Callithrix jacchus: one gene and its partners. The protein of the gene in region 1 interacts with the protein of each later gene in a pairwise test. Links are inferred from orthologs where the notes say so. Each region holds a gene or a part of one and is shown in the gene's direction. Other genes may lie near its edges.

Region 1 (3,570 bases):
TTTGTATTTTTAGTAAAGATGGGATTTCCCATGTTGGCCAGGCTGGTCTCGAACTCCTGACCTCAGGTGATCCTCCTGCCTTGACCTCCCAAAGTGCTGGGATTACAGGAGTGAGCCACTGCACCCAGCTCCTTCCTCCCATTATGAGGAGGGGAAGGGAAGATATGAAAATGAGGGTACCAGCCGGGCGCAGCAGCTCACACCTGTAATTTCAGCACTTTGGGAGCCGAGGCAGGCGGATCATCTGAAGTAGGGAATTTGAGACCAGCCTGACCAACATGGAGAAACACTGTCTCTACTAAAAATACCAAAAAAAAAAAAAAAAAAAAAAAATTAGCTGGGCATGGTGGCGCATGCCTGTAATCCCAGCTACTCAGGAAGCTGAGGCAGGAGAATCGCTTGAACCCAGGAGGCGGAGGTTGAGGTGAGCTGAGATCACACCATTGCATTCTACCCCAGGCAACAAAAGGAAAACTTCATGAAAGAAAGAAAGAAGAGAGGAAGGGAGGGAGGGAGGGAGGGAGGAAGGAAAGAAGGAAATAGGAAGAAAGAAAAAAGAGAGAGAAAGAAAGAAAAAAAAGAAAGAAAGAAAAGAAAGAAAGAAAAAGAAAACAAATGAGGGTATCTTTGGAGGCAGGATCTTGCTGATAACATGATGATATCCAGAGATGGTAAATTATGTAGGATTGTCTGAATGCTTGCTGTGATCTGGCCATAAGCACCCTCCCTTCTCCCAACTTCATCTGCCTTATAAACTCCTACTCATGCTTCAAAGCCCAGCACCAATGTCCCCTCTTCCAGGAACCCCCTTCTCCTCCCTAGCTTGCTTTCCCCAGTCCAGTCTCCCTGTGTCCTGTGGCCCTCTCTGCACCTTGGTCCTGCCCCGAGGGAGGTAGAGTTGCCTGTGTCAGACTCTGTATGCTTGAGGTCCAGGCCCAGGGCTGAGGGTTCTTGAGGACCTGGTATCACTTGGTCTGCAGTGGGCAGCTGTGAATGTGAAAGAGAAGGGACTTGGTTGGGCACGGTGTCTCGGGCCTGTAATCCCAGCACTTTGGGAGTCCAAAGCAAGTGGATCACCCAAGGTCAAGAGTTTGAGACCAGCCTGACCAACAAGGTGAAAACCCATCTCTACTAAAGATACAAAACAATTAGCCAGGCGTGATGGGATGCACCTGTAATCTCAGCTATTCAGGGGGCTGAGGCAGGAGAATAGCTTGAACCTAGGAGGCAGAGGTTGCAGTGAGCTGAGATCGAAGCACTGCACTCCAGCCTGGGCGACAGAGCAAGACTCCGTCTCAAACAAACAAAACAAAACAAAAAAGGGACAAGCCTCTTGCCTACTCCCTGCCCCCAGCCTCTCTCAGCTTTTTTCTCCCCACATCAGGCTCTTCCATCGGTACCAGGACCTGGCCCCGCAGCTCGTGCCCCTCGACTATACCACCTGTCCTGATGTGAAGGTGCCCTACGAGCTCATTGGCAGCATGCCCGAGCTGAAGGTATGCCCAGGCCATGGGACAGGCAGGGGAAAAATTACTACAGATGTCTCTCGTTGCATTCTTATGAGGTGGGTGTTGCAGTTATCTTCATTTTACAGATAAGAAAACTGGCTCCGAGAGGTTAAGACACTTGTTCATGGTCACACAGCTACAATGCGACAGAGGCAACGTTAAAACCCAGAGCTCGCCAGTGTGGTGGCTCACGTCTGTAATCCCAGCACTTTGGGAGGCCGAGGCGGGTGGATCATGAGGTCAAGAGATGGAGTCCATCCTGGCCAACATGTTGAAACCCCATCTCTACTAAAAATACAAAAGTTAACTGGGCATGGTGGCACACCCCTGTAGTCCCAGCTACTTGGGAGGCTGAGGCAGGAAAGTTGCTTGAACCTGGGAGGTGGAGGTTGCAGCGAACGGAGATCGCACCACTGCACTCCAGCCTGGCAACAGAGTGAGACTCTGTCTCAAAACAAACAAACAAAAAACAAACCTCAGTACAGGGTGTGTTGCATGTCAAGTACTCAGAGAATGTTAATTCTTTTTGTAACAGGAGCTGCTAAATGCAGGCTTTCTCAGTAGGATGTTTGACACATGATTTGTGCCTTTGAGGGGAACTCGTGGATTGAGTGACTGTGAGTAGGATTGATTTTATTGGAAGTGACAAAAACCTTATTTGAGAGGGACAGAATGGACTGGATCAGAATGGATCGCCCCTGAGCAACAACAAAAAAAATCCAGGGGCAGGGACAGTGTCAGGCATGGCTGAAACCAGGGGCTCTGATGATGTGCTCAGGAATCTTCCCCATCTCTCGGCTTCTCCCTGGAAGAGGTTTCAGTCTCAGGGAGCCTCTCCTCTTGAGGCTGTGAAAAGACCTCTCAGTCACTCAGCTTTAGCTTCTGTGAGCTCTGCAAGCAACAGAAATCAGATCCTCTCCCTCCCAATTTTTCAGAAAAATGTCCCAGGGCAGCCTCTGATTGGCTAATTTGAGTTACATGCCCATCCCAGAGCCAATCACTGTTGCCAGGTGAATGGAACTCTATGATTGGCCTTGCCTGGGTAATATGGCTGCTCCAAGAGCTGGAAGTGGGAGTCAAGTTTGCTCAGACCACAGGGGCAGAAGAAGGTGGAGTTGTCCAAAGTCCTGTCCGGGAACTGTGGGAGAGAGTGAGTCTTGACGGAGGGTACTTGGAGGTTCCCATAAAATGGGTGCTGACAGTGAAACCACATGGAGCCCTAGAGACCCTGGGTGTCGGAAGATGGCCTCCCAGCTTCCTTTCTCTCCCCAGGATAACCCCTTCCGCCAGAGGATCGCCCAGGTCTTCTCTGACGATGGGGATGGCCACATGACCTTAGATAACTTTTTGGACATGTTTTCCGTGATGAGCGAAATGGCTCCCCGTGACCTCAAGGCCTACTATGCTTTTAAAATTTATGGTAGGTGCACAGCCCCGGGGTTGGGGATCATGAGCATGGGGTGGACAGTGGGAACTGGGTGGGGGGCACCTCCATCACATACATCTCCCCAAGGGCTTTGAGACCCTGTGTGGTCCGGTCCTCCACCCCACTCCAATGCCTCCCCACCTCATTTTTTTGCTAACTCTATTCCAGCCACAGTGGCTTTGCTGTTCCTCAAACACACCACACTCTTTCGGCCTCTGGGCCTTTGCCTCTGCTAAACTCTCTGCCTAGAACACCTTTCCCCTGGTTCCTTCTTTATTTATTTATATTATTTATTTTTTTTTTTTGAGATGGAATTTCACTCTTGTTGCCCAGGCTGGATTGCAGTGGCTCAATCTTGGCTCACTGCAACCTCCACTTCCTAGGTTCAAGTGATTCTCCTGCCTCAGTCTTCTGAGTAGCTGGGACTACATGCATGCACCACCATGCCTGGCTAATTTTTGTATTTTTAGTAGAGATGGGGTTCTACCATGTTGGCCAGGCTGGTCTCGAACTCCTGACCTCAGGTGATTTGCTCACCTTGGCCTCCCAAAGTGCTGGGATTACAGGTGTGAGCCACCGCGCCCGGCTCTCCTGGCTCCTTCTTTTTTGTTTTGTTTTGTTTTGTTTGAGATGGAG
Region 2 (4,051 bases), on another chromosome or scaffold:
ATTCTCCTGCCTCAGCCTCCTGAGTAGCTGGGATTACAGGCATGTGGCACTATGCCCTGCTAATTTTTGTATTTTTAGTCGAGATGGGGTTTCACCATGTTGGGCAGGCTGGTCTTGAACTCCTGACCTCATCATCCGCCTGCCTTGGCCTCCCAAAATGCTGGGATTACAGGCATGAGCCACCGCACCCAGCTGCTCCTTTAGATTTCTGACTGCTCTCTCTGCATCCCTCTCGCCCTTTATAATCGATGAGGAGCCAGATGGTTTATTTTAAAAACATATATCAGATCATACCAATTTCCTGTTTAACATCCATCAGTGCTTTCCCATCACACTTAGAATAAAATCCAAACTCCTTTCTATGGTCCTCAAGGCCCTACCCCTCTGTCCTCATGTCACTGCCCTTGTGGTATCACTGTGGTTGCCCTGCCTTCAATTGCCTTCTAGCACTGTCCGGCTCTTTCTTGCCTTAGAGCCTTTGGACCTTTCTCTGGCTGGTTCCTTTGAGGCATGTAGCTTTGAGCTCACATTTCTCTGTTTCGGTTTTCCATAGCACTCATCACCATCTAAAATGATAATAGTTATGAGCTTTATTACTCATTTCTTGTCTGCCCATGTAAGATGGAGATTGCCAGCAAGGACTTTGTTCTTCCTGTTTACCATTTTACTCCTAATTCTGAGATCAGGGCCCAACACATACTGGGCACTCAGTAAACACTGCAGAATAAATAGGTTGTGCCATGAAGCTCCCAGTCGTCAGTTTTTGTACAGACAAGGGACAGAGGTGTCCGGCCTATAGCAGAAAAGCTCCAGCCCTCCCAAAGTTTATGGCAAGATCCCGACCTGGTAGAGTGCTGGCAGAGGCTCTCCTCTCAGCAGAAGGCCCTACACCCGGCCTTGCCTCTCTCTCCAGCCTCCTCCTGGCTGAAGTCTGAGACCTGCGCGTCCCCAGCTTCCACTTGGGTGAAACGGTAGCTCAGACTGAAGGGTGGAATGGGTGGTTTTGGTGGGCGGACAAAATTCCTTTAAGAAGCGGTCAAGGCCTACGGTGGCCGTCAGTGACGCTGCCTTGGTTGGGGCTTGCTGAGGGCCCGTGGGTGGCCTGGGGCAGGGCGGGGTCGGCGCAGGGAGGGATGGGTGGGGTTGACTCCGCCCCCTGGCGCAGCTGTAAATAGGTAAATAGAAGGTGATTGTGGCGTGGTGATGTCCCGATACCCGCTTGAGACGCCGTGGTGGCAGGTGCCCCGTCTGTTCAGGAGACAGCATAGACCTCACCAAGTCTTCATGTACAGCCGCGCGCAGGCTGAAATGGAGCAGGAGACTGGGGAGCTGAGCCGGTGGCAGGCGGCGCACGAGGCCGCCCAGGTGAGTCAGGTGTCAGCCCCTGGCAGGCCGGGAGGGCCAGGCGGGGTGGGGGCCGGCGGGGCGGGGAGGCCGTGGAGGAGAGGGGAGGCGAGGGAAGCAGAAACCCGAGGGGAGGGGTTGCAAGGGAAGGGTGGAAAGGGAGGGTTGGAAGATTGAGGTGTATCATACGTCGTTTATTCCAATAATGTTCGCCCAGCAGTAGAGCTCGTGTTGGGCGCGTGGAGGGTAAGAAGGTTCCAGGCAACTTTCTGGCGAGGGACGTGAGTAGGCAGAACAGCAAATATCAGGTTAGGAAGTGAGCAGAAAACGACCAGGAAAAAAAAACCGAAAATGTTAATTGGAGCCCTACTAAGTGGTAGGCTTTTGCCGGACCCTTGGAATATGATGATGAATTTACCATAAAACAGATAGATATAAAATTTTATTAATAAATCATTAGCTGAGGCCAGGCACTCAATCCTGTATCCCCGCACTTTGGGAGGCCGAGGCGGGTGAATCACTTGAGGGTAGGAGTTCAAGACCAGCCTGGCAAACATGGTGAAACCCCGTCTCTAAAAATAAATAAATAAATAAATAAATCATTAGCTGAATGATTGGAAATGTACAGCATACGAGAAGGAGAAGTCGTGGGTGCATGGGAACAGATACCGGAGGTGTTTGACCTGATTTGGGAGCTTAGGAGACAGCTGAGAATCTGGTCTGGGACTAGAGAACAGAACTGGTCAAGTGAAGGTTTTTCAGGTCTGAGACCAGAGGTGGCTGCTTCCTCTTAGGAGGAACTGAAAGACCAGTGTCTAGACAGTGATGGGGGGAGGGGTGGTGGGGTGGGGGAGCGCCCAGAGACACCATTAAGGTCATTCAGGGCTTGCTTATTCCAAGAGCAGTAGGAAGCCCTTGATGAGTTTAAACATGATCTGGCTCCATTAGATTTGCATTTTCAAAGGAGTGCCCTGGTGGATGTGGGCTGGATTCAAGGACAATAGTTAGAAAGCTTTTGTGATAATCCAGGTGTCTCTAAAATTCATTATATTAAAAAATAAAACAAGATCTTCCCAACTCTTCTAGGGTTTTTTTTAAAAAAGAACATTTGATCTATAGCCAAAACCACATAATCAAACCTATCAAAATTGGATATATTATTTTTATTATTTAATATATTAATAATTAATATATTACTTTAATATATGATATATCATATATAGAGAGAGCCGGGGTCTTGGCTCTGTTGTCCAGGCTGGGGTGCAGTGGTGTGATCTGGGCTCACTGCAACCTCTACTTCCCAGGTTCAAGCGATTCTCATGCCTCAGCCTCCCAAGTACCTGGGATTACAGGTGTGTGCCACTCCGCCCAGTTAATTTTTTGTATTTTTAGTAGAGGTGTTTTGCTAAGTTAGTCAGGCTGGTCTCTAGCTTCTGCCCTCAAGTGGATCCACCTGCCTCAGCCTCTCAAAGTACTGGGATTACAGGCATGAGCTGCCTCGCCCAGCTGATTATTCCTTTAAATCATCTTAGATGCAGCCTTATGCAAATGCCCCTAGCTATTCCTAAAGATACTTTGTAGCTGGTTTGTTCAAACCAGAATTTAAGACTGCACACTGCATCTGGTGATTATGTCCCTTGAGTCTCTGAAGTTAGAAGAATAGTTTTATTTTTTCATGATTGAGATTAGGTTTTTCATAATGCTAACTTTTGTGTTACAGGATGTTTCTTTTGGAGATATCAGATTGCTTCCTCGTGATAATTTAGCTTTATCTTCTGTCACTTGTATTACCTTTAATTAGGATTAGATCTTACAGCTTAATTGGATTCAAGATTTTTGGCAAGAGTGCCTCGTGTACGGTAGGCCTCATCTTGCATTACATCAGGAGATACATCTGGTTACCCGAATCTGGTGATACTTGTATTAAGGTAGTGAAAAGCCTAATTAAGCTTTCTATTAAGGTTTACCCTGTGGTCAGAAAGTAATCTGTGTGATTCTCCCTTGTATGTATCCATTGTCCAGTACTCTACCAGCCATTCACCTAATTTTTTTTTTTTTGACACGGAATCTTGCTGTTGCCAAACTGGGGTGCAGTGGTGCAATCTCAGCTCACTGCAACCTCTGCCTCCTGGGTTCAAGCAATTCCCCTGCCTCAGCCTCCTGAGTAGCTGGGACTACAGGCATGCACCATCCATCATGCCTGGATAATTTTTTGTATTTTAGTAGAGAGACAGGATTTCACCATGTTGGCCAGAATGGTCTTGATCTCCTAACCTCATGATTCATCAGCCTTGGCCTCCCAAAGTTCTGGGATTACAGACATGAGTCACCATACCTGGCCAGGGTCACCTACTGGCTTTAACACTAAGTTTAAATTTTTCCTCAAATTTCCTTAGGGGTTACAAAATAAATTTTATTTTCCTTTTTTTTTTTTTTTTTGAGACAGTCCAACTCTGTTCCCAGGCTGGAGTGCAGTAGTGTGATCTCGGCTCACTGCAACCTCTGCCTCCCATGTTCAAGCAATTCTCGTGCCTCAGCCTCCCCAGTAGTTGGGATTACAGGCGCAAGCCACTGCATATGGTCGCAAAATAAATTTTCAAATTCCACCATTCATTCTACATTTATTAGTTTGTATTCTTCTGTAAAGTAGGAAGAAGGTTTTAACTGTAGTCATTTGGTAATTTTGAAATAATTTTTTTCTTGGAGA
Region 3 (4,018 bases), about 21 Mb from region 1:
GTGTGTGAGACAGAGTCTCACTCTGTCATCCAGACTAGAGTGCAGTGGCACAATCTTGGCTAACTGCTACCTCTGCCTCCTGGGTTCAAGTGGTTCTCCTGCCTTATACTCCTGAGTAGCTGGGATTACAGGCACATGCCACCACGACCAGCTGATTTATTTTGTAGTTTTAGTAGAGACGGGGTTTCGCCATGTTGCCCAGGCGGGTTTCCAACTCTTGACCTCAGGTGATCCATCTGCCTTGGCCTCCCAAAGTGCTGGAATTATAGGCGTGAGCCACCACACTCAGCCCCAAACCATTTTTTATCTTTTCTTGACATTGAATTTCTGGCAAAATAGCCCAGTCGTGCTGTAGAGTGTCCCACATTCTGGATTTGTCTGACTGTGTTTAATTTGTTCCTCTCTATTGCCAGTAAACTGGAGGCTGAATCTAAAGGCCTGGGGAGATTCTGCTTATGCAGTGAACTGGGAGACTCCACAGGGTATGTCCTAATTCTTATTAATGTACTTCCTAATCCTAATGCATTATGGTAGGTGGCACCCAGTGTCCCGCCATTGGTAATGCAGAATTTCATTACATGATTAAGATTATGAGGGCTACATCATAAAAGGATTTCATCCTTTGCAGTTAGCAAATAACCTTTGAGATGATGCTTTAGAGCCTGTCAGGACCCTATCTCTAGACTGTGCTCTTATAGATACCATCCTATTTAAACTTTGCTGTGAAGAGGTAGGCAAGACTATCCTTATTTAACTTCGTGTAGCTTGGAGAGGTCGATCAGTTTTCCAAGGTCACAAATCTACTGAGTGGTGAATCCGGAGTCGGAATTTGAACCCGGGCATATCTGTAGTGTAGACCCCTGTCGGGGCGTGATGTGTAAGAACCTTAATTGCCATATTTGGCAGGTGCATGGGTAGTTGTGAGGGGCTCGTACTTTGAGAGGCAAAAGGCCCACCCGCCACCATTCCCCAGGGTAAAAAGCCACCTCTTTTCACCCTTCACTAGAGCAGCTGCCCGGGCATGCGCCCTGAAGCCAACCTCCCCTCCTTCAGAATCCGCCCCCTACAGGCTCCGCCCATCACCGTCCAGAGCCAATCCCTGGGGCGAAGGGAGGGGCAGCCACGAGAGTGGGCGTCGCTAAGGTTAGTTAGGAGTCTGGAGTCGTGCGCTCGAGTCAGAACTGCGTCTTGCGATCCAGGTGCCGGTTGCTGGAGGAGAGTGAGCAAGCGATGCTGCTGCCGCCGTTTCCTGATTGGCTGTGGATGGCTACCTCTTTGTTCTGATTGGCCGCTAGTGAGCAGGGTATGTAAATGAAGGGGCCTGGGGAGAGAAGGGGTGCCAGCGGCCGGGTCCTTTACGAAGTTCGATCCCTGGGTCCGACAGGTGCCCGTCTGGGCTGACCGGGATCGAGACACACGGGCCTCTATGTGCCGTCTGCCCCGGCCGGGCCGGGTGAATCACGCCGCAGCCCGAGAAGGGGGCGGAGGCGCCGGCTCCCTGGCTCCGGCTGCGTGACTCACCCGCCCCCGCCGCCGCCGCCGCTTCGGGAGGAGCCGCCTCCACTGCCGGAAGCGAGCGGAGGCCGGGCGCACAGAACAGCCCGCCGGGGGTCCCGGCTCTCACGGCCCCGGGAGGCCGGCAGGAATCACAGCCGGGAAGCGGGGCAGTAGGAGTCCTGGGGTCAGAGGGGCCAGAATCCCCGGGGGAAAGCCGGCCTGGGCACCGCTAGGGGGCGCCGGGACCCGGGGGCGGAGTCGGGGGTCGGGGGCGGAATTCCTGCGGTTCCTCACTCCTGGGACCGCGGGGAAGGGGACGGAGACCCAGTTTTGACTAGTGTGATGGTCCACTCTTAAGATCTTGCTAGGCAGGGTCCCGGGAACTGGACCCTGGACCCTTACTGGCCCAAAAAGGTAGGTAGCGCCAGGGGTCCAAAACTCCAACCCCACCCCCAGCCACTCCAAGAAGAGAGTGGGTCCTCAAACTTATCTCAGTGACTGACCCCAGTGCCCAGCACGATTTCCCGGCAAGCCCCGTCGATTCTGCCTCCCAAATAAATCGTGACTCGACCGACTTCCTTCCATACACTACCAGCTCCTCCTCCAGGCCATCACCATCGTCCGTCCCAACCGAGTACAGCTTACCAGTGGTTCTCAGATTCCCCCTCTTCCTCCCCTCCCCCCAGTCTTCCTCAAAGCAGCCATGGGGGGACGGAAACCCAGTCAGCTCACAACACCACTCCCCTCCCTGCTCAAATTCCTTTAATGACCGCCCACCACGCTCATGATAAAATACAGACTCCCTACTTCTGCATATGTGGCTTTCTGTGACCTGGCTGGTGCCCGTTTCCTCTGCTGCTCCCCAATCTGGTCTCCTACCATGTCACTCTCTGTATGCCAGGCATGCTAGTCTCTTTCAGTTCAAGCCCATCCAGCCTCTGGGTCTTTGGTTGCCTTTTTTTGTTGATCCCTCCTCCCAGAATCCTTTTCCCAGGGGGTCTCCCTTGGCTGACTTCTCTGGCCTGAGGGCTCCATTCAAATGTCACCTCCTCTCGGGAGCCTCCTCTGATCATCTGAAAGGTCTCCAGGACCTTTTAGTGTCTTCCTGTAATTCTCTGTACATTTCCTGTGTTTGCTTATTTATTTACTGTTTGAAATATATAGTAGACAATAAATATTAAACTATGTGAAACTAGTTTAGTATTTATAATTTATACATAATTACTTATAATAAACTATGTGAAACAGCTGCTTTTGTAGGGGAAAGGTGAATATTGGCCATTCCACATGGTTCACTGAAGACATTATAATGTTATCATTAAGAGTATTTATTGGTGGTCTGGGCGAGGTGGCTCACACCTGTAATCCCAGCACTTTGGGAGGCCTAGACAGGCAGATCGTGAGCGCGGTCAGGAGTTTGAGACCAGCCTGGTCAACATAGTAAAACCCTGTCTCTACTAAAAATACAAAAATTAGTGGGCGTGGTGGCGGGTGCCTGTAATCCCAGCTACTGGGGAGGCTGAGGCAAGAGAATTGTTTGAACTTGGGAGGCAGAGATTGCAGCGAGCCGAGATCTCGCCATTGTACTCCAGCCTGGACAACAAGAGAGAAAAATTGTCTCTCAAAAAAAAAAAAAAAAAAGGTGTGGCAGCTCAGTTATAATACCAGCACTTTGGGAGGCTGAGGCGGGAGGATGGCTTGAGGCAAGGAGTTTGACACCCTGAGCAACATAGTGAGACCCTGTCTCTACAAAAAATAAAAGGAGAAAGAAAAAAGAGTACTTATTGACTGACGCAGGAGGATTGCTTCAGGCTAGGAGTTTGAGACCAGCCTGGGCAACAAAGTGAGACACCATCTCTATTTTTTTAAATAAAGAAGTCCATAAATATACTTTATAAAATATAAAATACAAAATGTAAGAAGTCTATAGGCTGGGTGCGGTGGCTCACGCCTGTAATACGAGCACTTTGGAGGTCGAGGTAGGCAGATCACTTGAGGTCAGGAGTTTGAGACCAGCCTGGGCAACATGGTGAAACCCCATCTCTACCAAAAATACAAAAATTAGCCGGGCGTGGTGGCTTATAGCTACTCGGGAGGCTGAGGAACGAGAATCACTTAAACCCGTGAGGCAGAGGTTGCAGTGAGCTGAGATCATGCCATTGCACTCCAGCCTGGGCAACAGAGCGAGACTCCATCTCTTAAAAAAAAAAAAAGTCTATAAATATACATCTACAATTAAATAAAAATTGCCTATATCTTTAAAGTTCCCTAACAAAAGCTAGGCACAGAGACGCTAAGTGACTTGCCAAAGATCCTACCTGCAGCAGCTGTCAGATCCAGGCTTTGAACTTGACATTTGTTTTCCATAACTTGACTTTAACTCCCTGCTCTCTGCAGATGCTGAGCAAGGGTCTGAAGCGGAAGCGGGAGGAGGAGGAAGAGAAGGAATCTCTGGCAGTCGACGCCTTGTGGCTGGATCCTGGCCACGCAGCGGTGGCACAGGCACCTCCGGCTGCAGCCT

What was found. The genes of interacting proteins can lie anywhere in the genome.
Region 2: the proteins of CIB3 (region 1) and KLF17 interact in binary tests that used the Homo sapiens proteins (3 or more experiments, as listed by UniProt). The two-hybrid records come from large-scale screens. The link is inferred for Callithrix jacchus from reciprocal best matches to the Homo sapiens genes CIB3 and KLF17.
Region 3: the proteins of CIB3 (region 1) and SERTAD1 interact in binary tests that used the Homo sapiens proteins (3 or more experiments, as listed by UniProt). The two-hybrid records come from large-scale screens. The link is inferred for Callithrix jacchus from reciprocal best matches to the Homo sapiens genes CIB3 and SERTAD1.

Annotation. Positions count from the first base shown.
Region 1 is NC_133523.1:14,787,367-14,790,936, reverse strand, and holds part of CIB3 (calcium and integrin-binding family member 3), read left to right. Parts: intron 1-1,384; coding exon 1,385-1,496; intron 1,497-2,780; coding exon 2,781-2,928; intron 2,929-3,570. UniProt on the Homo sapiens protein: Acts a an auxiliary subunit of the sensory mechanoelectrical transduction (MET) channel in hair cells. Plays a role in regulating hair cell MET channel localization and function.
Region 2 is NC_133508.1:80,798,957-80,803,007, forward strand, and holds the start of KLF17 (Krueppel-like factor 17), read left to right. Parts: upstream 1-1,210; 5' UTR 1,211-1,284; coding exon 1,285-1,365; intron 1,366-4,051. UniProt on the Homo sapiens protein: Transcription repressor that binds to the promoter of target genes and prevents their expression. Acts as a negative regulator of epithelial-mesenchymal transition and metastasis in breast cancer.
Region 3 is NC_133523.1:35,982,819-35,986,836, reverse strand, and holds the start of SERTAD1 (SERTA domain-containing protein 1), read left to right. Parts: upstream 1-1,177; 5' UTR 1,178-1,303; intron 1,304-3,894; coding exon 3,895-4,018. UniProt on the Homo sapiens protein: Acts at E2F-responsive promoters as coregulator to integrate signals provided by PHD- and/or bromodomain-containing transcription factors. Stimulates E2F1/TFDP1 transcriptional activity.